Linked DNA regions of Rattus norvegicus. The protein of the gene in region 6 purifies or fractionates together with the protein of the main gene of each other region. This does not show direct contact. Links are inferred from orthologs where the notes say so. Each region holds a gene or a part of one and is shown on either strand. Other genes may lie near its edges. The genes, in order: Polr1c, Polr3h, Polr3b, Polr3gl, Polr2e and Polr3f.

The links.
Region 1: the proteins of Polr3f (region 6) and Polr1c purify together in Homo sapiens (affinity purification with mass spectrometry; 4 studies listed by BioGRID and IntAct, counting the BioPlex papers as one, with this or other methods). This does not show direct contact. The link is inferred for Rattus norvegicus from reciprocal best matches to the Homo sapiens genes POLR3F and POLR1C.
Region 2: the proteins of Polr3f (region 6) and Polr3h purify together in Homo sapiens (affinity purification with mass spectrometry; 4 studies listed by BioGRID and IntAct, with this or other methods). This does not show direct contact. The link is inferred for Rattus norvegicus from reciprocal best matches to the Homo sapiens genes POLR3F and POLR3H.
Region 3: the proteins of Polr3f (region 6) and Polr3b fractionate together in Homo sapiens (co-fractionation; 4 studies listed by BioGRID and IntAct, with this or other methods). This does not show direct contact. The link is inferred for Rattus norvegicus from reciprocal best matches to the Homo sapiens genes POLR3F and POLR3B.
Region 4: the proteins of Polr3f (region 6) and Polr3gl purify together in Homo sapiens (co-immunoprecipitation; 5 studies listed by BioGRID and IntAct, counting the BioPlex papers as one, with this or other methods). This does not show direct contact. The link is inferred for Rattus norvegicus from reciprocal best matches to the Homo sapiens genes POLR3F and POLR3GL.
Region 5: the proteins of Polr3f (region 6) and Polr2e purify together in Homo sapiens (affinity purification with mass spectrometry; 4 studies listed by BioGRID and IntAct, counting the BioPlex papers as one, with this or other methods). This does not show direct contact. The link is inferred for Rattus norvegicus from reciprocal best matches to the Homo sapiens genes POLR3F and POLR2E.

Annotation. Positions count from the first base shown.
Region 1 is NC_086027.1:22,232,099-22,236,117, reverse strand, and holds the start of Polr1c (DNA-directed RNA polymerases I and III subunit RPAC1), read right to left. Parts: upstream 2,801-4,019; 5' UTR 2,745-2,800; coding exon 2,676-2,744; intron 2,582-2,675; coding exon 2,510-2,581; intron 799-2,509; coding exon 691-798; intron 466-690; coding exon 333-465; intron 1-332. Other genes in the region: protein YIPF3, read left to right, coding at 3,046-3,126, 3,662-3,859, 4,000-4,019. UniProt on the Homo sapiens protein: DNA-dependent RNA polymerase catalyzes the transcription of DNA into RNA using the four ribonucleoside triphosphates as substrates.
Region 2 is NC_086025.1:115,317,082-115,321,144, forward strand, and holds the start of Polr3h (DNA-directed RNA polymerase III subunit RPC8), read right to left. Parts: upstream 2,801-4,063; 5' UTR 2,774-2,800; intron 2,508-2,773; 5' UTR 2,494-2,507; coding exon 2,383-2,493; intron 1-2,382.
Region 3 is NC_086025.1:21,023,634-21,027,133, forward strand, and holds part of Polr3b (DNA-directed RNA polymerase III subunit RPC2), read right to left. Parts: intron 883-3,500; coding exon 850-882; intron 650-849; coding exon 593-649; intron 506-592; coding exon 441-505; intron 1-440. UniProt on the Homo sapiens protein: Catalytic core component of RNA polymerase III (Pol III), a DNA-dependent RNA polymerase which synthesizes small non-coding RNAs using the four ribonucleoside triphosphates as substrates.
Region 4 is NC_086020.1:186,815,170-186,819,175, reverse strand, and holds the start of Polr3gl (DNA-directed RNA polymerase III subunit RPC7-like), read left to right. Parts: upstream 1-1,206; 5' UTR 1,207-1,281; intron 1,282-4,006. UniProt on the Homo sapiens protein: DNA-dependent RNA polymerase catalyzes the transcription of DNA into RNA using the four ribonucleoside triphosphates as substrates. Specific peripheric component of RNA polymerase III which synthesizes small RNAs, such as 5S rRNA and tRNAs.
Region 5 is NC_086025.1:10,316,010-10,320,157, reverse strand, and holds the start of Polr2e (DNA-directed RNA polymerases I, II, and III subunit RPABC1), read right to left. Parts: upstream 2,801-4,148; 5' UTR 2,725-2,800; coding exon 2,668-2,724; exon of another isoform or gene 2,588-2,667; coding exon of another isoform or gene 2,555-2,587; intron 1,745-2,554; coding exon 1,570-1,744; intron 617-1,569; coding exon 420-616; intron 157-419; coding exon 98-156; intron 1-97. UniProt on the Homo sapiens protein: DNA-dependent RNA polymerase catalyzes the transcription of DNA into RNA using the four ribonucleoside triphosphates as substrates.
Region 6 is NC_086021.1:152,371,798-152,375,232, forward strand, and holds part of Polr3f (DNA-directed RNA polymerase III subunit RPC6), read left to right. Parts: intron 1-303; coding exon 304-447; intron 448-625; coding exon 626-733; intron 734-1,916; coding exon 1,917-2,108; intron 2,109-2,857; coding exon 2,858-2,935; 3' UTR 2,936-3,435. UniProt on the Homo sapiens protein: DNA-dependent RNA polymerase catalyzes the transcription of DNA into RNA using the four ribonucleoside triphosphates as substrates.

The DNA.
Region 1 (4,019 bases), on a different chromosome or scaffold from region 6:
TTGGGAGTAAAGATGTACACCACCATGCCTGCCTGGCCCTACTAGCTCTAGTAACGGGCTGACAAGAAGCCTCAGAGGGTGCATGCTTGCTTAAACCTACAGACCCAACTTCAATCCCTAGAAACCATGTAAAGGTGGAAAGAGCCTCTGAGCGCTGCTGGCACTGTGCTAAGAGTGAGGGATTAAAGGCAGGGGCAAGAGAACGTTCTCACAGGCGAAGGCCCATGTACAAGAGCCAACTAAGATCACAGTTAATTAGGCCTGGGATCTGAGCCCATGACAGATTCCAGGACAGTTCTGCCTAACTCATAATCTCAACCTCTCAGCCTTACCTGGGTTCCGATATTCAAAGAGACGTGGATCAGCAAGAATGGGGATAAGCCCCAGGCGGTGAGCAAGGATCTCATCCTGGACGATGGATGTGTTGTTATACACCAAAACCTTTTCCACAGCCATTGTTGGCACCTGCCCAAGGAAGCAAAATGATCTACCTGACCTCCACCCATCCCCTACCTGGAAAAACGAGGGGCAGCCCTTCTTAGTTTTGCCCTTCAGATTTGATACAAGGTTTACTGTGTAGTTCGGACTGCCCTCTGAAGTGTTCATATTATAGGTGTAAACCGCCCCACCCGCCCGGTAGTCTACAGATGGGGTGACAGTTTCCACACTCCAGCCCGCGACTTCTAATACCTCAGCTAACAGAATCCTCCGGAAGGCATTGGCAATGGCAGCATCAATCCCCACCATGTCGAACTCCAGTGTGCTCTCGTCCATATGCACCACGTCCACACGGAAGTTCTAGAGGGGTAGAGAAAGCCCAGTGGGTGGGAAACCTGTTCCTCTTGTGTGAACCCAGTCTACCCTGGCACTATCCCCCAAGATCATCAGTAGACATTTTGTCTCTAGTCCCACTGGGAGGGCAGTGTACTGTTCCTTGTTTATGTTTTTCAAGACAGGGTTTTTCTGTAGCCCTGGCTGTCCTAGAACTCACTCTGTAGACTAGGCTGGCCTCAAACTCAAAGATCCACCTGCCTCTGCTTCTTTTTTTCTTTCTTCTTTTTTCTTTTTTTTCGGAGCTGGGGACCGAACCCAGGGCCTTGCGCTTGCTAGGCAAGTGCTCTACCACTGAGCTAAATCCCCAACCCCCTGCCTCTGCTTCTTGAGTGCTGGGATTAAAGGTGTGTGCCACTATGCCTGGCTTCTCAGATAGTCCACAGACCACCCAGCAAAGCTACTGTACAAAAAGCAGAACTTCCCACCTATTTAAACCATTTGATACTTGCATTTTTTAATATCTACTTTTCCTTATCTAAATTTTCTCTTCCACCCAGTAAACGTTACTTTCTCCCAGGTTCTAAATCCCCTGGGTGACCTTCATGCTGCTGACTCAAGCAAGGGCATAGCAGCTCCTGACCTTGGTCTGACTTCAAGCATCACCACTCGACCGGTAGACTTCGCAAACAACTGTGCCATCGCCCTGGTCCTCCCGCTTAGCAAATGACACAGCCAGCAACACAGTTCCCCAGTGTGGCTGGAGAAACCACTCGGCAGTTAAGAGCACTTACTGCTCTTGCAGAAGAATGGATTTGGTTCCCAGCACCCAGTGGGACCTCCTCACACTGCTGGGAGCAGTGGTGCACAAATACACATGCAGGCAAACATACATACCAAGAAAAGGTTATCCGTTCCTCAAGCCACAAGGTCCTTTCTCACACTGCCCTCACCACAGCAATGGTCTGCATCAGCTAGTTACTACTCTCACTCCATTACCACCATCTGCAGTTCATCCATGCCCCCAATTTCAGCCTCCATACACTAGCTGGCAGATTCGCCAGATTCATTCCTTCCCAGCTATCAAGACTGCAAAATTTTATCAGTCTACTGAAAAATTCTAACGGGGCATGGTGGCTCATGCCTTTAATCCTGTGCACGGGAGGCAGAGGCAGGTGGACCAATCTGAGTTTGAGTCCGGCCTGGTCTACAGAGGGGGTGCCAGGGCAGCCATGGAACCCTGTTTCAAAAAGACATAAAAATAAAAATCTATCACCTACAGAGTCTAAAATGCATTCCAATCTTATCTACTGCTCATGCTGGTGGACTTACATTCTGACAAAAATGAGCTGCTGCAGCTGACTAAGAGCAAACCTTATACAAGCGTTTATAATGAAACTCGAATTAGGCCTTCACCGCTCAACTTTTATTCATAGTTCAAAGCTTAATTCAAATGTCACTCCCTAACTACGTCCCTTCAATTGGCTGGATTAAGTGCATCAATGATTCCTACCCCATCCCAGCCATCTTCATCGCTATTTTATTATACTGAAATAACTTGTTTGTGGCCCATTACCCCACCGAGAGCAAACAATTTATTCCACAAACAGGAGCGGTGTCTGACGGCCCGTCCATGGATCGGGAAACATGTTTTCATGTTTCATGAAAACAGAGATCCCCAACCCAACCTGTGAGGTCTGGCCCCTCAAACCGTCTGGACACTTCCAGCCCTACCCACCTTCTCGAACCGGTCCTGGTCCCAGGCATCATCATAACCGGAGTAGTTACCGGGAAAGTCAGTGGTGTGGACCTAGAGCCAACAGAAAGGGCAGTGAGGCCAGGCCATACACCAGGCCTCCTCTCTCCCGTGCCTCCCCCATCACTCCCGCGGTCCGATCTCTTACATTGCGAACCCCAAACTCTCCCAGAACCACGCGAGTCCGCATTTCCTCCACCGCCTGAGCAGCCGCCATCTTCCACCATCAGCCGTGAGAGGAGGCTCCAAGTTAGCGCGTGCGTGCTAGCGGCCCGCCTCCGTCTCCGCGGCAACGTTCCGTCTCCGGCAATCTTCACTGTCGCGATATCTTGTCCCGCCTCTGTCCACGTCCTTCACTTCCGGACGTCAATTGGGGCCAAACATCCGGGTTTCTCACTTTTGCGTTCCGGCTGGTCCTACCTCGCCTAGTCGCTCCTCTGAACCTTTCCTTCCCTCGGGCCCAGGTCTCACACTATTCCCACGAGCGCTAGCTTCAGCGACGGGAAGCCTCGAGGGACATGGCGACTCAGGCGGCGCCGGCCAGCGGCGTCCGAAATGGTGCTGGCCCGGAATGGGGAGGCTTCGAAGAAAACATCCAGGTATTGAGAGCTCTTGCTGCCAGCAACTCCCCGGGCTGGCGGCCGAGTGTGGTTGCTATTTTTTCTCGCGGCGTGGAAGTCGGCTCTATTGCCACACTGCCTGTCCTCTTTCAGTCTTCCACGCGAAAGTGTGTAGAGCTTGTGCTGGCGTGAAAGGGCTAGATTAAGGTTCGAGTCTCTGTACCTGCCCGGGGCTTTGCAGACGGGTTGGGGGATCTGCCTGGATCAGGCATAGTATGGGACTACAGGATAGAATTTCGGCACTTCCTAAAATAGGCTTGTTTGAGAGTTGGGAAAGGCAGATGGGCTTCTTTGCAACTCTTTGGAGCTTTGGGAGGGGCGGGGGGGGGAGGGCGAACTACAAGTGTCGCCACCAAGAGTTGCCAGCAGTGAAAGGTTATGTATAACACAGTGGGTAGCAGTTCCAAGCCATATCCTCGTCAGTGGAAGAGCAAAGCCTCAAACTGTCAGATGAGGGGAGAACCAAAGGATGCAACGGAAGGGCCCCTCACACTAGGAGCCATTGTCTTCACAGGGTGGGGGCTCGGCTGTGATTGATATGGAGAACATGGACGATACCTCAGGCTCCAGCTTCGAGGACATGGGTGAACTACATCAGCGCCTGCGTGAGGAAGAGGTAGATGCTGATGCAGCTGCTGCAGAAGAAGAGGACGGGGAGTTTCTCGGCATGAAAGGCTTTAAGGGACAACTGAGCCGGCAGGTAGCAGATCAGGTAAGCCAATGGAAAGGAAGACCTGTGTGTGTCCTAGGTTGATACACTTTTTCCACTTAGACCTACATACACAGAAATCAAGCGGAGGCCGGGTAACCGTCTAGAGCCAGGAGTTTTTCATAATACCCATCTCCTTTCAGATGTGGCAGGCAGGGAAGAG
Region 2 (4,063 bases), on a different chromosome or scaffold from region 6:
AGTGTCTGCACATCTACCACCAATATTACCCCTAGTCACAGCCCTCACAAGAGCTGCTCAGGGACTAGAGATGCATAGCGCACCTCAGCGTTGGGCAGAGCTCCCTGCAGTGATTTCTGGGGGGGCTTCTCTCACAGGATCGAGTGAACTGGCCTCAACGAGGCATGGTGATCCTTGCCTGTAATCCCTGCAGTTGAGAGGGAGGCAGAGGTATCAGAAGTCCCAATTCTTCCTTGGTTACACAGTAAATTTAAAGCGAGTTCAAGTCCCACGAGATGCTGTCTCAAAAATAAGAGGGAAGATGCTATTGGCAAACCGGCTCAGCAGTCAAGGTGCCTGCCGTCCATCTTAACCGACGCCGGGTCCTGGACCCTTCTCCTCACGAGGTGTGCGATGACCTACTCATGTGTGCTGTGGTTTATACACCACATTCAAAATAAATTCATGTAATTAAAAAAAATAACAAAGAGAGAAGCCCTGGATGCCGTGACTGAATGGGCATGACCTCCACAGGCCCATACACTTGAATGCTGACATCATCAGGAAGGGCTACAACTTGAGAAAGACCAGAAGGATTAGGAGGCGTGGCCTTGTCAGTGGGAGTGGTTTGACTCCCTTGGTAGATGAGGATGTAGCTCTTAGCTACCACTCCAGCACCATGTGTGCCAACATGCCTCTGCCACGATGCTCAAAGACTAAACCTCCGAAACCATACGCAAGCCTCCAGTAAAACACTTTCTCTTGTTGTCCTGGTCATGGTGTTTCCTTACAGCACTAGAACAGCGAGGGCAGCTGGCACACACCTTTAATCCTAGCACTAGGCGGCAGAGGCAGGCAGCTCTGGGTTGAAAGGCCAACCAAAACTACATAGTGAGATCCTGTCCCAAAAAAGGAAAGTCAGCATCGTTTTTCCTCCATCTGACGAGCCTCAGGTCTGTGATATACCCCTTCTTCCGGCCTCGGCCTCCTGTAAAGGATCTACCTGTCTCCTATGTAAAGCCAAACCTGTTCTTTCTTCCTGGCTCTCAGATCACCTCCTACTGACTTGAAAAGAACAACTTGGACTGTAAGGCCCTCCAGGGCTCTGTGGTCCGGCTTCTGTCTACAGTTCCTAGACCAGCCTCTGTGTTCCAGCTACACTGGCATTCTCTGTGCTTTCTTAGATGCCACAGCCCTCCTGCCTCAGGACCCTTGCACATGCTAATTGCGCTGTCTCCACAACTCTTTATACCTAACCTGCTCCAACCATCAAATCAGAGTCTGTCTCTTGGCTTCTCCTCGCCGTCAGCTCTCAGGTTAGTGCTGTTTTCTCAGAAGTCACCAATCTCTTTCATCCCAGGTGGCACACCTCTGTTCTCCAGCTGTGTGAATGCCTGTCCTTCATGGCATCCACCCTGGCTCATTAACAAGGGGACCCTCTCAAGCCAGCTCTTCTTCCTCACTATGCTACACGGGCAGAGTCTCTGTCTCCCCTGCCACGCTCTGGCTAAGTACTGGGGATAATGAAAGGATTACATCAGAGAAGGTCTGTATTCACAGAAAGGGACATAATACAGTAACCAAAAGAATACAAGGAAGGGGCCAATGAGCTGGGTCAGCTGGTAAAAAGCCACCTCTAAACCTGACAGCTGAGCTCAATTCCAGAGAGCACGCACTATCCTCTGACCTCTGTACTCACCCACTTGGACAAACTGAGGCCCAGAGTAGGTGACCTGGCCAAGACTGCACAGTAATTGAAGGAGGAAACAGGCATTTTCCGGTTTCCGTTTTACAAACCCATTTCGTACTCTGTTTTGTTTTCCGACAATACGGAGAATCAAACCTCAAATGTCAAGCAAATTTAAGCACTATTCAACACCCCGGTGTTTTTGGTTTTTTTTAGGTTTTTTTGGTTTTTTGTTTGTCTGTTTGTTTGTTTTTGGTTTTTTGGTTTTTTTTTTTTTTTTTTTTTTGAGACGTTTGTTTCTCCGTGTAGCCATGGCTGAGCTCCCTCTGTAGACCAGGCTGGCCTCGAACTCACAGAGATCCACCTGCCTCTGCCTCTTAAGTAATGGGATTAAAGCCATGCGCTACCACCAGCAGTTTCGATGCTTAATTTGTTTGAAACAGGTTTATTATGTTGCCCACGCTGGCCTCGAACTCAGGATCGTCACAAGCCTTATTAACCCAAGAAGCTGGGATGACAGGTATACACTACTTCGTCCAGCCCATTTACTCCCTTGGGTACACGCTGACATCCAAGTCTGGTTTATAAGGAAGGGAAGGAAAGAAACCCTGACATGAAGTTACGTTAAGTGTGTAAGGCCAAGGCTGAAACAAGGGACGGCCAGACAAGCAGCGGGACCGTTCCGGACACTGCCCGGCAACCCGAGGGCCTAGTACCTTGTTGGCCAATTTCTTGTTCAGCTCCTCAGCAATGGAGTCGTTGAGTTTCCGCTCAAACTGCCACGGGGGTATGCGCACGGTGTCCACCATCTCCACCAGCACGAACATCCTGCGCTAGGGCTCTGGAACCCAAAGAAGCTGTTAAGCACGCGGGGCTGAGAACGGTGAGGGGCTGGGGGTCCCCGAGCTGCCCCCATTCCCTCTCGGATTCTAACAAGCCAAGCCTGCAGCCGAGCCGCGCGGGAGGGCAGGGCCTGGGGTCCCGCTTGCGGATGCCACGCTCCTCTCCCGGAGGAACCTGAGGCCCCATTCCTCCAGGCTTGGAGAAGAGCCGACCCCGTCCCATCCCCGCCCCGACCACTCCGCACCACGCGCGGAAGCCACGCACCATTCACGCGCGTCCAGCGGCTCGGAGGCCCCAACGCAGCGCTAGCCAAACCAAATGAACTCAGCTTCCGGAGAACTGACCAATAAGAAGCATCTGCCCGCCCCTACGGGTCGCAGAGCTAGGCAAGGCTCCTGTGAGGGGAGGAGCCTGAAGGTGGGCGGAGCCGCCTGCACTCTCCCGCTACTGAGAGGAGAGGGGCGGGGTACAGCGCTGAGAGGGCGGGGCCTCGTTCTGAAGCCAGCCAACCCCGGCCACTGAGCGAGTCTGGTTGCTAGGCGATAATTCTGCTCTTCCAGCCTGTCTTTTCTTTTGCACAGCAGCTAGAGAGATCCTTTGAAAATACAAATATAACACGTTCAAAATAGTCTTTACTCGGGCTGGAGAGATGGCTCAGAGGTTAAGAGCACCCGACTGCTCTTCCAGAGGTCATGAGTTCAATTCCCAGCAACCACATGGTGGCTCACAACCATCTGTAAAGAGATCCGATGCCCTCTTCTGGTGTATCTGAAGACAGCTACAGTGTACTTATATATAATAAATAAATAAATCTTTAAAAAAAAAATAGTCTTTACTCCAGACAAGTACCCAAGACAGTGGGCAAAAAAGGGTCACCAGGCCTTTCTGGGTGACAGTAATTTTAAGTGGTGCAATTGATGTATGTACTCACTAAAACTCAGCACACTCCGTCCTTAAACAGCTGAATGCAAACAGTCTCACACTTGTAATGCCAGCACTGAGGAGGTAGAGGCTAGATAATCACTGCAAGTTCAAGACCAGTTTGAGTTACAAAATAAGACTTTGTTTTAGCGGCTCCCTTCCCCGCCGCCCCCCCCCCCCAACACAAAATTTTGGTCAGCCAAACATAGTGGCAAACACACCTGAATTCCAGCACTTAGAAAGTAAAGACAAAAAAAAAAAAAAAAAAAAAAAAAAAACGGGGCTGGAGAGATGGCTCAGTGGTTAAGAGCACTGATCGATTGCTCTTGCCAAGGTCTTGAGTTCAGTTCCCAGCAACCACATGGTGGCTCACAACCATCTGTAATGGGATCCGATACCCTCTTCTAGTGTGTCTAAGGGCAGTGACAGTGTACTCACAGTCGTTCAATAAATAAAATAAGATCTTTTTTAAAAAGACAGAAAAACTAGACATTCAGATCAGCTACTTAGTGAGTTCAAGATCACCCTGGGGTACAAGAGACTTTTTTTTTTTTTGTAACTCTTTCTTTTTATATATTTTTTTAATTTATTTTTATTGGATATTTTTATTTACATTTCAAATGTTATTCCCTT
Region 3 (3,500 bases), on a different chromosome or scaffold from region 6:
CTGGTTCCGATGACTTCTGGTTCCTCAGGTTCTATATAATGTAGTAACATAGGCTGTGCTACAAATCCTGAATGTTTTTATCATTATTAATTATATATAAAACTCATTAAAGGCTTACTTAAAAGAATTAAACCAACAGTTTTAGTAACTTTTCAATTAACTCTTACAATGATTTACAATTAAAAGTCAAATATGAGCACTTTACAATTAGTTTACTGGGGTTGGGGATTTAGCTCAGTGGTAGAGCGCTTGCCTAGGAAGCGCAAGGACCTGGGTTCAGTCCCCAGCTCCGAAAAAAAGAACCAAAAAAAAAAAAAAAAAACAAAACATACAATTAGTTTACTAAATACATAAAATAGTGGTGTTAGAAGAGATTTGACAGCAAGTTCTCCAGTATTTAAAATCAATGAGAATGTTATTTAAGAGCAGTTGTTTCTTACTTTAAGTACCACATGGGATCAGCATCGCTTGTAACCTTTTCGTTGGCTTTCATTATCTTCTTTATCTGTAGTAGAAAGTGCAGAATGAGAAACAGAGCTCTTGCTTCCGACTGGTCCTCAATTTACATCTGGTTTTAACCCTGAATACTCACCTCTACATTAATGAAATAGTTAAAGGAGTCGATGTGCTGTTTCACCAGGCCTTTTACCTAAACAGAGAAAGAACAAAAGACAGCAACAAAGTAACAGGTTACACAAGTCACTGTGGCCACAGGTAACCAACCATCCATGTTTCTCAAATACAAGTGAGGGCAAGATTAATAACGTATTTAATTAAAAACAAAATGTAAAGGACCATCTAGTGACTTATTACGTGAAAAATAACTATTATTAAATATCAAACAATTACCTTTAAAAATGCTGGAAGCAGCCTCCATTTTTCCTGTGGACCAAACAATAAGAACATGAGAACAAGTGTAGTAACCACAAAACACAATTACTGTGGTATGCCAAGTTTAAGTTTAGAAAGAAGCAAACCAAACAGGGAATATTTTATAATATAATTGCTATTATAAACATCAGGTTTCTGTGGTGTACATGTGTATAACCACATATATATATACCACAGGTTTTCCATAATAAAACCTCTTCTGGATGACAAGATTCCAAACACCTTTCAAATTTATTCTCATGGCTGAAGGGAGGATCATAGCTTGAAAAGAGATCTGTAAGTCTGAGTTCATTCTGAACCAGAGCCTCAGGCTACCTCAAGGCTTCCGGGGGTCAGCACATGTGGGTATTTGCTCCTCCACTGACAGACTGCTAACTGCCACTCCACTCGAGTTTGGGGACTTAACTTGAAGATCACTATATCTGGGGACTGCCTCTTTTCACTTATCCCATCTGCTAAGGGAGCCCGAACAGCTGGGTACAGCTGAGTCTAAAGTCAGAATATCCTGTTCCTAAGGAAAGGTTTATGGACAACCCACAGCTTTGTAGCAAACATTAAAAAAAAAAAAAACAACAACAACAAAAAAAGGCTTTAGGGGCTGGAGAGATGGCTCAGCAGTTAAGAGCACTGGCTGCTCTTCCAAAAGACCGGAGTTCAGTTCCTAGCAATCAAGTCCCGAGTTCAATTTCCAGCAATCACAAGGTGGCTCACAACCATCTTCTGAAGTCCTCTTCTGGCAGGCAAGTATATATGCAGATAAGAGTATTTATATACATAAAATAAATAAGCACAACAACAAAAATAAGCAGAACAAAAACTGGCTTTCACTTGAGGGACCTGAGCAGCACTGGAAAGTTCTGAGTGGAGGGTGATGTACTATCTCTGTGTGTATCAACTGGATCGCTCTGGATGCTGGGTGGGCATGCGCAAGGCTGGAAGCAGGCAGTCGCTTAGCTGATCACAGCAGCCCAGGCGGTAACAGTACAGGTAGGAAGTGGGAAGTCATTTAGCTAGCAGGCAAGTGCTTGAGCAAAGCCAGTAAAACAACAGACTAGATGGCTCCCTGGAAAAAAGTGAAGTTAAAATTAACACCAGGGTTTCTGGTCTGAGGAAACAGAGGCATAGAGACAACATTGACAGAAATGAGGGGATGGGGCCAGGCGTAGGAGCAACGGGTTTTCAAGGGTCTGAGATACCAGTTAGACATTCAGGTAGAAATGTCTAACGGGCAGTAGATGTCTGGAACTTAGAAAAAGAGTGCCCTGGGGTATAAATTATGGAGCAGTTACTAAAGCCAAGGGACAATGAGATTGCCTAGGAGCAATGGAAAACAAGTTGCACGAAATGAGAAAAGCTGAACACAGTGGTGCACACCTTTAAGCCCAGCACTTGAGAGGCAGATCTCTGTGAGTTCAAGGCCAGCCCGGTTCCAAGACACCCAGTGCTACACAGTGAGATCCTGACTCAAAAAATGAGGGGGGGGGGGATGATGGATATTTCTAACATCTAGAAATGAGGACGAGGATGTGGGGAAGCCCAGAAAACAGGCAAGCCAGTCTGTGATAATAGAAAGCAAGAGTATTTGGGTGCTGGGTGTGTGTGTGTGTGTGTGTGTGTGTGTGTGTGTGTGTGTGTGTGTGTGAAAAGGTTGTAAGAGAACTTTTTTTGAGTGATGGAAATGTTCTAGAGTGTACACTGGATAACAGTTGTTTCCCTTATCTGCAACTATCAGAGCCAAAGCAAGCGACACTCAGTATCTGTGCAATACTGTGTTCCATTGTATCTCGTTGAGCAGAAAAAGAAAAAGAGGATGAAGACCAAAATTACAAGCTAGACTAAATTCCTACACTGGCTTCCATGTGGCCTGCGGGGCTGCAGAAGAGGTCAGTAGGTAAACTCTACTTCAACATGGCTGGCACCCACATAACAAGGGGGAATTTGGACAGATACATAAAGGGACACTGTGAGGTAAAGATGAATACAGATTTCAGCGTGATGCCCCTGTAAGTCAAAGGCTGTCAGTAAAGCAGCAGGTGTTGGGGAAGAGGCACGCGCTGGAATCTTTCCCAGACTTCTGTAAGCTTCATCTTGGATTTCCAGCCTTCAGAAAGGTGGGGAATTAAACATCTGGTTTTTCACACTATCAAGCTGTGGTACTTTGTCACAGCCATCCTATGCACTAATCTAGCTTTTCAAATTCCTGCTCCCATATTTCAAAGTTTCCCCTCTGTGCGCAATGAAATTCCTGTCTTAGAAACAGAAGGAATGCACAGTCCTTGTAGAAAACTCGCTGCCACAAACACTTTTTAATCTCCTCTAGAAATCAGGAAACCCTCCCCTACTCAATCACCCCAACTCCTGGATGTGTACTCAGCAACCTTCTTCATTGGTTTGTTCTCAACCTTTAAGCCAGCTGTGATGGCCCAGGCCTATATAACCCTAGCAGTTACGAGGCAGAAGCAGAACCAGTTTAGAATCAGCCTCCGTGATATCGATTATCAATTCAAATCTAGCCTGGGCCGCATAGAACCCTGTCTCTGGGAAGTAAGAAAATACATAAGTAACATTATATCGCCGCAAGGACAACAGTAGAGAGAGAGCCTGAGAGT
Region 4 (4,006 bases), on a different chromosome or scaffold from region 6:
GAGTATGTGTCATCCACAAGCATTTTCTCTGACCTCTGGCATATTCATGTTGACTAACTCCTAGTTTTATCTCCATCCTGAAGTATTTCCATTTACTTCTACTCCGTGAAAGGATGACTTTTTTTTTTTCTTTTCTTTTTTTCGGAGCTGGGGACCGAACCCAGGGCCTTGCGCTTGCTAGGCAAGCGCTCTACCACTGAGCTAAATCCCCAACCCAGGATGACTCTTTCTACTCCACACCATTCCCTTGAAGGGGCTTGAAGGGCAGTGCAAAGCGCAGAAAGAAAAAAACAAAAAAGCCCACTGGATTCCCACCTTCTCTCCCCAGTGACTTCTCTGATCCCAAGAGCCTTTCCCTCCCCCACTTCTCAGACATAGCAACAATTCACAGGACTGGGCATTTGGGGCCTGACCACGGTAGCAGAGTCAAGAGTATCAAGAGTTCAAGGCCAGTCTAGACTGAGTAGCCAGAACCTGTCTTTAGGGAAAAAAAATCTTTTAAAGATTAAGTATTTGGGGGCTGGAGAGATGGCTCAGCAGTTAAGAGCACTGACTGCTCTTCCAGAGGTCCTGAGTTCAATTCCCAGCAACCACATGGTGGCTCACAACCATCTGTAATGGGATCTGATGCCCTCTTCTGTGTGTCTAAAGACAGCTACAGTGTGCTCACATATATAAAATAAATCTTTAAAAAAAAAGATTAAGTATTTATTGGTAGTGCTGAAAGAGAGGGTCGGAAAGTCACCAAAAGACTGACGCTGGGGAGTTGGGGGGGGGGGGCAAGGGAGGGGTCCTAAGCCAGTAGAGGACGCTGGAGTCTCCACTGGAGACCGCTGGAGGCGGTTGGGAGCCTCCTGGAGGGTTCTGGGAACTAACTCCAGTCTCCTGCTGGCCGAGCCGTTAACAGTTAAGCAGTCTGGTCTCTCTAACACAAGGCTACATTTCCCAGCAGCAATTCTCTTCTGGCTCAGCTACGTGCCTGGAAGTGCTCTGAGGAGCAGGTCATCTTAGCCGACTCCTGCCATCCAGAGTCGGTTCCGTCTGGGCAGAAGAGGTGAACACTGCAGCCCCAGGTCTCAGCGCGCCCTACTTGCCAAGCCTCAGTTCCGGTTAGGCTTGCTCCCACCTCCACCCCTCCTTGCCCGCCTCCGCTCTTGTTGATTGGCTAGGAAAACCCACCAATGGAGAGGTCAGGGAGGCGGGCCTAGAACGCGGGCTGGAAGAAGAAAAGCAAATTTCAAGTTGGCGGCTGCGTGGGCCCGAGTGGGGGAGGGACGGCAGGTAAGGCTTGGACCTGGTGGCTCTGACCGGGTTTGGTTCGGTACTTCCAGATTTAGTCCCTCGGCGCCAGACAGCAACGTAGTTAACGCTTTCTGTCAGCCTATTGGACTAGCCCCCTTCTGAATCCCTCCCCTTTCTTCCCGGGCTCTCACTGCTGTCTTGACTGTACACCAGAGACACAGCTTGCTGTCGTGCCTGGGGACAGATATTAAAACAGGAGAGGAATGCTCATTCTTGTAGCTCAGACTCTTCTATGGTATCAGCTTCTTCCACGTCTGTTAACATTAACCTCCTGTCAAGAGCCTGGCAGATTCTTATTACCTATCAAGTCAACTGAACCGCTCGCTACCCTCTACCCACTGCTTTTCTAGACCTCCTTGAAGAGTTTACTGATCCTCAGCCTGACAATGTCTGATTATCATTATTGAAATCTATTTAACTTTTAAAATCACATTTATTATCGGGGTGGTGGTGGTGGTGGTGGTGGCGTGCGCGCCATGGCTTGCGCAAGGAGGTCAGAGGACAACTTGAGCTAATCAATCTGTTTTCCTGGCCACCTGGCAAAGAGAGTATTTAGTATCTCATGAGGCTCACTGTCTCCCTCCATCCCTCCCATCCTTTTTACCGACAGACTCTTGCTGTGTAGCCTATACTGGCCTCCAATTTGCATTCCTCTGCTACAGTCTCCCCAGTGCTAGGATTACACGTTCTCTTTTGATGTTTCTATTCCATGAACCGAAGGTTTGATGGGACAGGTTGTGGTACTTAATACATTGTGTTCAATAAGCGTTCATCAAATGGAATTGATTTGTGGGAACCAGTTTTAAACTCCTAATATAATTAGGGAACAATAAAAGACAACATAGTATATAATTAAAGGCCTTTAAATTGGTGGTTTATTGCATTAATGTTTTATAGTTATTCTCAGACCAGAGAAGGAAATCAGCTATAAGAACCATAAGGGAGTCTTTATGACTCACAGGGTCTCTAGACTCCTGTTCAAACAGGAATTTGCTGAGCACCTACTACATCCCAGACACAGCGTTAGACAATGGGGATCATAGTGAACCCTCTGATAACATCTATCCAATAAATTGTTGTTGAGTATGTGGGAAAATATTTTTGAGACAGGTTTTTTCCTATGCAGGACAAGCAGGCTGGCCTCCAACTTATGATCCTCCTGCCTCAGCCTTCCTGGGATAACAGGCTTGTACCACTGCACCCCAAATAAACTTTTTCTTTTAAATTGAGAAGCATGAATCTTGTCTTACAAATGCTAAGCATTAATTCTACCCCTGAACCACACCCCTACTCCAGAGCCAGCATCTTTAGTAAGAGAATTCACCAGCTCTTTTCAGGCCCAGCCACTATTTTATTTTTTCTTTGTATTTGTTCAACTTAAACTTATTTATTGGGAGCCCTCAAAAGCGACATGGCGGTCCTCTTAAAGCTGGGCGTTCTCTGCAGTGGCCAAGGAGCTCGAGCTCTGTTACTCCGAAACTGGGCAGTCAGACCTGCTTTTGTGTCCACATTTCTCCAGGACCAGCCTACCCCAGGATGGCATGGCACCCAGCACATTCACCTGTCACCAAGCCACCAGTCTGGTTCCAAGGCTGCATCTCTCCACTGGACCAGTGAGAGGGTTGTCAGTGTTTTGCTCTTGGGCCTGATTCCAGCTGGGTACTTGAATCCCTGCTCTGTGGTGGACTACTCTCTGGCTGCAACCCTCACCCTGCACAGTTACTGGGGCCTTGGACAAGTGGTTTCTGCCTACGTTCATGAGGACAGTCTCAGCTTTGACCTTTGCTGGGCTTTGCTACTTCAATTACCACAATGTAGGCATCTGCAGAGCGGTTGCCATGCTGTGGAAGCTCTGACCTCTTGGTGTAGCACTTTGATTGCATGCCTCCTTGCCTCTGCTTTATCAATGCTGTTCACCTCACAATGAGGAGGGGATGAACGGTAAATCCGTTGGTGGGCAGAATGTCTTCTAATTACATGGCTATTTTCAGAATTTATTTGTTGAGGAGTTAGGTTCACTCAGTCGTGAGTCTGAGTCCTATAGTCACTGAGTCTGGACGCCAGTTCACGTGACTCATCGTGTAACTGAACATTTCATAGGCTCATGTTGCCTTTGATCACAATTTCTTAAGGAGAGCCAGCTAATTGCTGTCAGGATAAGAGTAGACTTCTCTCCTCAGACCTGGAGGGAGCACTGTTCATTCATGAGTCAGACTTTGCATGAAATTGAACAGTATTCTGTTTGGAACCTTCCACTCTTGTTCAGGTGGCCCCAGCTGTTGGTGGCTCTGTTTCTAGGGGACTTTTAATCAGGAGATGCCCTCAGTTACTGACGTTTTAAGTCTTAGGAAGGAAATCAAGGAAAGTTAGATTTTGGGAAGTTCAATTTAGGGAGTTCTCCTTTGTAGGTGGGTTCAAATATGACAGATTGCAAACAGACTTACTCTTCAAATGTATCTCAGTTATGCACGAATGAGCTGTCCAAAAAATGTAAGACTAAGTAATAAACTGTCTTCCCACCGTGGGAGTTGCTAATGAGAAAGTGTACACTGAAAAGGCAAAATTTTTAAATAAAATATTATATAATGAGAAAAAACCGTATTTATTGTTAGTGGGCCTGGGTGGAGTGTGTGCCCTGGTGCATAGGTCAGAGGAAGGTAGTGAATTCTACAGGCTGGCCCCAAACTCACTGTGGAGCCAAAGA
Region 5 (4,148 bases), on a different chromosome or scaffold from region 6:
AAAATAAATCTTAAAAAAAAAAAAAAAAAAGAGGCTACTTTGTGCATATGGGCATATAGCCTCACACGTAAAAAAAAAAAAAAAAAAAAAAGGATACTATCGCGCCAGCAGTTCCGTCACCTCCTCCTTGGTCATGACCACGTGCTCAGGGACTAGCTGTGGAAACAGAGACCCACCCGCGGCCATCAGAAACCGACAGACTCAACAGGCTAATGGGTACTGCCACAGGGCTGGGACAGAGGACACAACCAGGCTACTAATATCACCAAGTTGGATGCTCAAGGCCACTGCACTAAAACTGGGGAACGACCCTGCCCAGCTTATGAATGGCACGGCCTGAGACTGGGAAGATCCAGGGCCCTCCCGTATCCTGTCCAGACCACGCCATGCCACCCAGACCTTCCCTGGGACACACGCACCTCATGTTCTGTGATATTGATGAGCAGCTCCTGCTGTAGAAACTGTTCTAGCACGTACTTAGGGGCCATGTCTACCAGGGACTGCTTGGCGGAGGGTGTCATGCCCTGCTGCACCACGATCAGCGCCCGTGTGATGTTCTCCTCCTGCATGCGCTGGCAGTACACCTTGATGGTCTTGATGCCCACCTTGGGCTCCTCTGCAGGCACACAAGTGTGACCCTCACACCCACCACTAGAGTCCCTGATGTCCTGCTGCCTGTGGACTTAGCTTCTCCACTCACAAAGGAAGACCAGAACGCAAAGCCAGCCGCGGTGGGGCTATCACGGGGCAGCCATGGCGGAAGAAAGCTGCACTGTCCGCCCCTCCTGATCCAGGGGGTGAAATTCTCAGCAGCTCTGAGATTTGTGGAATATGGTATTGTCAGCTTGGGCAGCCTCAAGGAGAAACTGTCTGACCAGGAGGTGGACCCTGTGTCTAACATGGGGCTAAGCCTTCTCTCCTCAGGCAGAGTGGGGTTTACTGGAGCATTAGGACGCAGAGCACAAGAGCAGGTCCAGGTCACCTAGTCACCTAGTCTGCAAATTATCGGACCTTATCCAGACTCTACACACCTTTTTACATTATGATAACAGTGGCAAAATTAGTTAGGAAGCAGCAATGAAAATTTTATGGCTGTAGGTCACCACAACATGGAGAGTCCCATTGTCGGGAAGGCTGACAGCCACTGCCTTACATAGTTCTGGCTGTCCTAGAAGTCACTGTGTAGCCCAGGCTGGCCTCGGCTGCCTGCCTCCGCCTCCTGGATTTATAAACACATGCTACCATGCCCATCCCTGCACCCCCAATTCTCACACTAAAACCCCAGGCCCCAGGCATCAACATCAGGTATTAAAGGAAACAAGCTGCCTGCGGAGACTGGAGGAGCTGCAGAGCACCACAAACCTCCGAGAGCCGCCTGGGCCTCAGACAGCAACTGTAGACTACAGCAACAGGAGCAGGGGGACTGAGCACTGGTCTGCGGACTCAGGGGCAAAAAGGACACCGGTGAAATGGAAGCTTCCCAGGGGAAGACAGGGACAAAGCAGGCAGCTGCCACCAGAACTGGAGGCCCCCAGAGGATGCCACTACTGCCAGCCCAAGGACCCTCACCTGGGAAGAAGACAAACATCTGGTCTGTGGGATCATCGTTGTGGGCCACCAGCACGGTGAGGTCTGTGCGCCTCGGCCGTCCTTCGCTGGGCTTGTCCCCAAACTGTGCCTTGAACTCTTCAAGTGTCTGGTCCAGCTCATCCTGGGTCACCAGGTAGCCTCGGTCATGACACAGCTGTAGAGAGAGAAGAGTACTCAGCTAGAGGACAGCTGGGGACTAACACTGACTGACCCGCAGTACCCAAATTCTGCATAGGCTGAGACTACAGAGGCCCCAGCCAAGCCTCCTCCCTTCCCTCCAGCCTCACCAGAGAAGGCTGGGGTCAATGACCTGGCAACCTTCCTGTCTTGGACCCTCCTAATGAGGGCTGAGAACAGGCCTGAGGAGGCCTAGATCAGGTCCTGGGCTCCACCCAACACAGCATAAATTAAAACTATTAATACCTCTTTCTCCACTGGGGTCTTATCTACTCAACTCGAACAACCAAAATGTCTTCCTTTTTTCCCTTTTCTTTCCAGACAGGGTTTCTCTGCGTGAATGTGACCCTGTCTATCCGGGAAATTACCATGTAGACCAGGCTGACCTCTAACTCAGAGATCCGCCTCTTTCTAACTCCAGAGTGCTGGGATTAAAGGCGTGCGCCGTCATGCCGGCTTGTTTTATTTTTTTAAATAGCTTCTTTTAATCCTACGTGTGTCCAAGAGACCAGAAAAGGGCCACAGATGCCCTGGAACTGGGGTTACAGATGGTTGTGAACTACCATGTGGGTGTCGATGGTGAGGCTCCCTAGTACTGAGGAAACCATTCGTTCCCAACACCCCGTAAACCAGGTGTGACCGTGTAGCAGCCATGTATCCCGTTTCCGAAGCAGAGAGTCCAGCTAGGACTTTTCCTCTGGGGCAGGGGGAGGAGGCTGAAGCAGGAGGATTGCCAACAACTGAGGTGGGTGGACTCCACACTTTAAGAGGGGATGCATCCTATTACCTGGGAGGCTGAAGCAAGAGGATTAGCCCCCATTGGAGGCTGGGCTGAGCGGACAGACAACCGCAGTTAGTCCACAGCTCAGCGCTCGCTCAAAACCTCCCCATGCAACTCGCCTGCATGATAGTCTTGCGGATCTTCCACAGCCGATACGTTTCCTCCTCGTCGTCCATGTTGTCGCACTTCACAAACAACTCTGCACGCGCGCTCGTAGACCTACCAGGACTGAGCCTGCGCGGGACAGCATAAAGTGCACGCCCCCAGCACAGTGCGCCTGCGCGGAATGCGGAGAAGGCCCCGCCCAGGTTTGGTTTAGGTGATCGCCGGAATACACCAACTTTCCAGGATAGGTTGAGCGGTGGGCAATCCCAGCATTTACCGCGGCGGTGTCTGCGCGAGATCGCACACGGGAAGATCGCGCGATACTTGACCTGCCTTAGTATTTTCCCACTAGGCGTTTGCAAAAGAAAACTTGGCTGTAGTTCACGCCTTTAATCCCGGACCGAGGCAAGCAGTCGATGAGTTTGAGGCGAGCCTGGTCTATAGCCAGGGACATCCTGTCTCGAAAAAGAAAAGGAAAGAAAGAAAGGGGGAGCCCGATGATGAAAAGCCAGGTTCATGTGCCTCAGTTTCCCTTTTTATATAAGTTTTTATTAATATATTTGCACTTTGTATGAGAAATCGGATTCCAGCGCCCCCAGCCATCTGTAACTCCAGCTCCAGAGGATCTGGGGCCTCTGGCCTCTGGGTATGTCTAAACCCACATGCAGACCCACACACATGATTAAAATCCTAAAAACTAGAAGGAAAAAATGGACATATAGGCATATAGACAATCGACAAACAAGTGTGTATGTGGTGGGCTACTCGTGCTGCCTTGAAAGTTAGAATGTAAACCAGGTCTCAACAGCGCAGAGCATGCCCTGCCTCTGCCTCCGCAGTGCTGGGATTGAAAGCTTGTACCATCGCAACTGGCAAGGGCTGTCGTTGGAAATCTAGATGCGGACTGTACCCTCCATTCTGTCCTGATGTGAGTCTGACTGAGGTCTACAGATCATGACCGGTTCTGGTATGGAAACTTAGGCTGATCCTGACTTGGAAAGACAAGTTTTGGCCAAGGGCACCGATCACTGAACCCACCATATGCCCTGTAGACCAGGGCTGAGGGGCTGTGGTTGCTACAGTTGGCTAAGAGCTGTGGGTGCAAAGTAAGGGGATGTGGGCATGGGGAATGAGAGAGTTTGAGGGGCTGGAGAGATGGCTAAGTGGTTAAGAGCACTGACTGCTCTTCCAGAGGTCCTGAGTTCAATTCCCAGCAACCACATGGTGGCTCACAACCATCTGTAAAGAGATCCGATGCCCTCTTCTGGTGTGTCCAAAGACAGTGACAGTGTATATGTATATATATATATATATATATATATATATATATATATATATATATATATATATATATATATATAGAGAGAGAGAGAGAGAGAGAGAGAGAGAGAGAGGCATTTGATTCTAGCACCACTCTGGAGGCAAAGTGGGTAGATCTCTGAGTTCTGGGATGGAGCCTGTGTTTCTCTCTCTCTCCCTCTACCCTCTCCCTCTC
Region 6 (3,435 bases):
GGTGGCTATAAAATGAAAGGCAAAGGAAAATGTGCTTAAATACCATACTGTATCTGAACCAGTGTTCTTTGCCTTCCTGTGAGGTTTCTGATTTACAATATACAGCAGCAGACCATGGACAGTGCTGGCTGCAGCATAGTTGAAGACAGCCCTCACTTTAGAGACAGTCCCAAGTTGAGTGACTCTCTGCTATTTTTGCAGTTATTCGGTATATTGAAAACTGTTATAAAATATAAGTGTTGGCTGTTCAAGTTTAGTTTCTAGAAGTTTATAAAGAAATGATCTGTGCATATTCTTTCCTAGGCTTCCAAAAAGAAGGTTTACATGCTCTATAACCTGCAGCCAGACCGGTCTGTGACTGGCGGGGCCTGGTACAGTGACCAGGATTTTGAATCTGAATTTGTTGAGGTGCTTAATCAACAGTGTTTCAAATTCCTACAGAGCAAGGTGAGGTCATTAAGGAAATATCACAAGTTCTTTTAAAAAGAGATTTTGTGAAATATTGACTTGTAGATTAAAAATCCCAAAAATTGGAAATTTTTATCATATGTGCTACTGTTGGTATTACACGTAACTTTACCACTAACATGAATTTTTGCTTGAGCTTCCTCTTCTAATCTCACAGGCAGAGACTGCAAGAGAAAGTAAACAGAATCCAGTGATACAAAGAAACAGTTCATTTGCTTCATCACATGAAGTGTGGAAGTACATCTGTGAACTGGGCATCAGTAAGGTCAGAGCTTATTTCTACCCCGACTGTATGGCCTAGTCTTCCTCACAAGGCTGTAGCTGTGGTGTGTTTGACCCATCGCCCTTTCAGGTCCACATTCTGCTGAACCCACTTTGGAAAAGCATTGTTTTACAGTAGGCAGACACCATAAGTGTCTGACTCTGGAGAACTCTTCTCAATTGGGTCCTGGCAGTTCTGTTCACCCAAAGTGAAAATGTTCTAAGTTCTTGATTGTCTGATAGTTGAGTTTGTTACAGTGTTAGTATGATTTATTGATACTTTCTTACTTAGTCAAATGTAAGGGTCCCTCAGCACCCTTTTGAAGACCTTTACATAAGGACACTGATGCTTTTCATGGTCTGCAAAGAAGCCAAAGTAGCATTTGGAGAAGTCATTTTCAGTTCTGGTTCCCAGATTCTCATTGATTAAAAAATTAGGAACTCAACTTATTTCATGTCTCAAGTATCTCTCTATAGCAACATTTTGAGAATGTTCATCAAGAGCTGGAGAGATGGCTCAGCAGTTAAGAGCACTGATTGTTCTTCCAGAGGCCCTGAGTTCAATTCTCAGCAACCACATGGTGGCTCACAACCATCTGTAATGGGATCTGATGCCCTCTTCTGGTGTGTCTGAAGACAGCTACAGTGTACTCATATACATTAAATAATTTTTTTTTTAAAAAGACTGTCCAAATTCTTGTGGGTTTTGGTTGCCAAAGAAATGTCACTTCAGGGCTGGAGAGATGGCTCAGTGGTTAAGAGCACTGACTGCTCTTCAAGAGGTCCTGAGTTCAATTCCCAGCAACCACATGGTGGCTCACAACCATCTGTAATGGAATCCGATGCCCTCTTTTGGTGTGTCTGAAGACGATGATGGTGTATAGTGTACTTACATAAAATAAATAAATCTTTTAATAAATGTCACTTCATAAGCCTTCTAGGTTTTTTTCTAAAGAATGCTGACATCGTGTGAGGCTGGGCATGAAGATAGACTTCTGTCCTCAGCATGGCAGTGGTTTGTGCTCATGTGGACTGTTATTCATCCTATTTGTGCCTTCCATTGCTCTTCCATAGAGCATGGCTTTTCCACTTGACTGAGTGGCTGTGACCTCTTGCTGTTTGTAATACCTTCTCTGAAAGGAGGTTTCTTTGTCCTTTATGCATGCTTTCTATGTACCCATTTCTAGGTAGAGTTGTCCATGGAGGACATTGAAACCATCTTGAACACACTCATTTATGATGGCAAAGTGGATATGACTATCATTGCTGCCAAGGAAGGCACTGTTGGGAGCGTTGATGGACACATGAAACTGTACAGGGCAGTCAACCCAATCCTCCCACCTACAGGCTTGGTCCGGGCACCCTGTGGACTCTGTCCCGTAAGTGAAAGCTGCTTCAGTTTTACTTCTATCACTGTCTTATGCAGAGGCCATAAAGAAACAACAGGCACAGCAGGCTTCCCACCTGTGTCACATGAGCTATTTAACCCCTCCCCCAGACCCTTGATGGATTCACAGATTGATGAATAGGACTTATATTCTTTCTTGGAGCACTCAGGGTAGGGACATGCTTCTGTTCTTAGGACCAAGAACATCCTGATAATTCTACTTAGCACTCTTTGAAGATACCTAAACACAGAATATCTTCAATTTAGTAAAAATTAAATTGCCGATAAGTATAGGACTCACTTCCTTCATTCCTATGCACCTGCTGATAACCTTTTGCCCAGGTGAAAGGACAGGTGAAAGGTTCATCTTTATGCTGTGTTAATATGCCTGCAAGCCAGGCAGGGTTGTGCATACCTGCAGTCCCAGCATTTGGGAGACAGAGGCAGTTGGATCTCTGAGTTTGAAGCCTGCCTATTCTACATAGTGAATTCCATGTCAGCCAGGATTACATAATGACACCCTTTCTTAAAAAACCAAAAATCAAAGGAACCAAACAAACCAAAAATATAAAAGCTTATAGTTAACCATGACCACAAAGTAGACACTGTTACAGTGTGCTCTTCAATGTAGTCCTCATCTGTTTCAAAGAGTTTCTTTTTTTCTTTTAATACTGCTTTAAATCGGTGGGGTTTTGATATTTTAAAACTTGAATATAAACTTTTATGTTTTTTTTTTTTAAGGTTTTTGATGACTGCCATGAAGGTGGTGAAATTTCACCATCTAATTGTATTTACATGACAGAGTGGCTCGAATTTTAATAGAGCTGTGAACTTTATTTACATTTGGCAAACTGAACTTCGTGGGAAACAAATAATTCATGATGGAGTGTCAAATTACTTTGAGAGCATACTTCACAATAATGGGTACTGACTTGCTGCTATGGAAACACTTATTTATGAAGACAGAAAACAAAGGAGATTAAGTTTAATAAAGTTTAATTGGGAAGTCTCTTCTTCATTAAGTAAAATACCTTGAAGGTCTGGAAGACTAAGGAAAAGAAGCCAGCAAACCTACGTTGACCATGTACTGAGATAAAGGCTGGAGTGAGAAGATGCCCACTTGAGTTACTTAAGATCGTCATTGAAAACTCATCGGGTTTATTACCGCCATTTCTGTTTGGTTTTTCTTGGGTTTTGTTGAGAAGAAATTACAAGTGGTGCAGGCAGGACCAGCTGGTGATGGGAGTGTGTGTGCCAGCTCGGGCCTGGGTTGTAAAGTGGGTATTTCTTTTTCTACACCATCTGTTTTTCACCCCAGT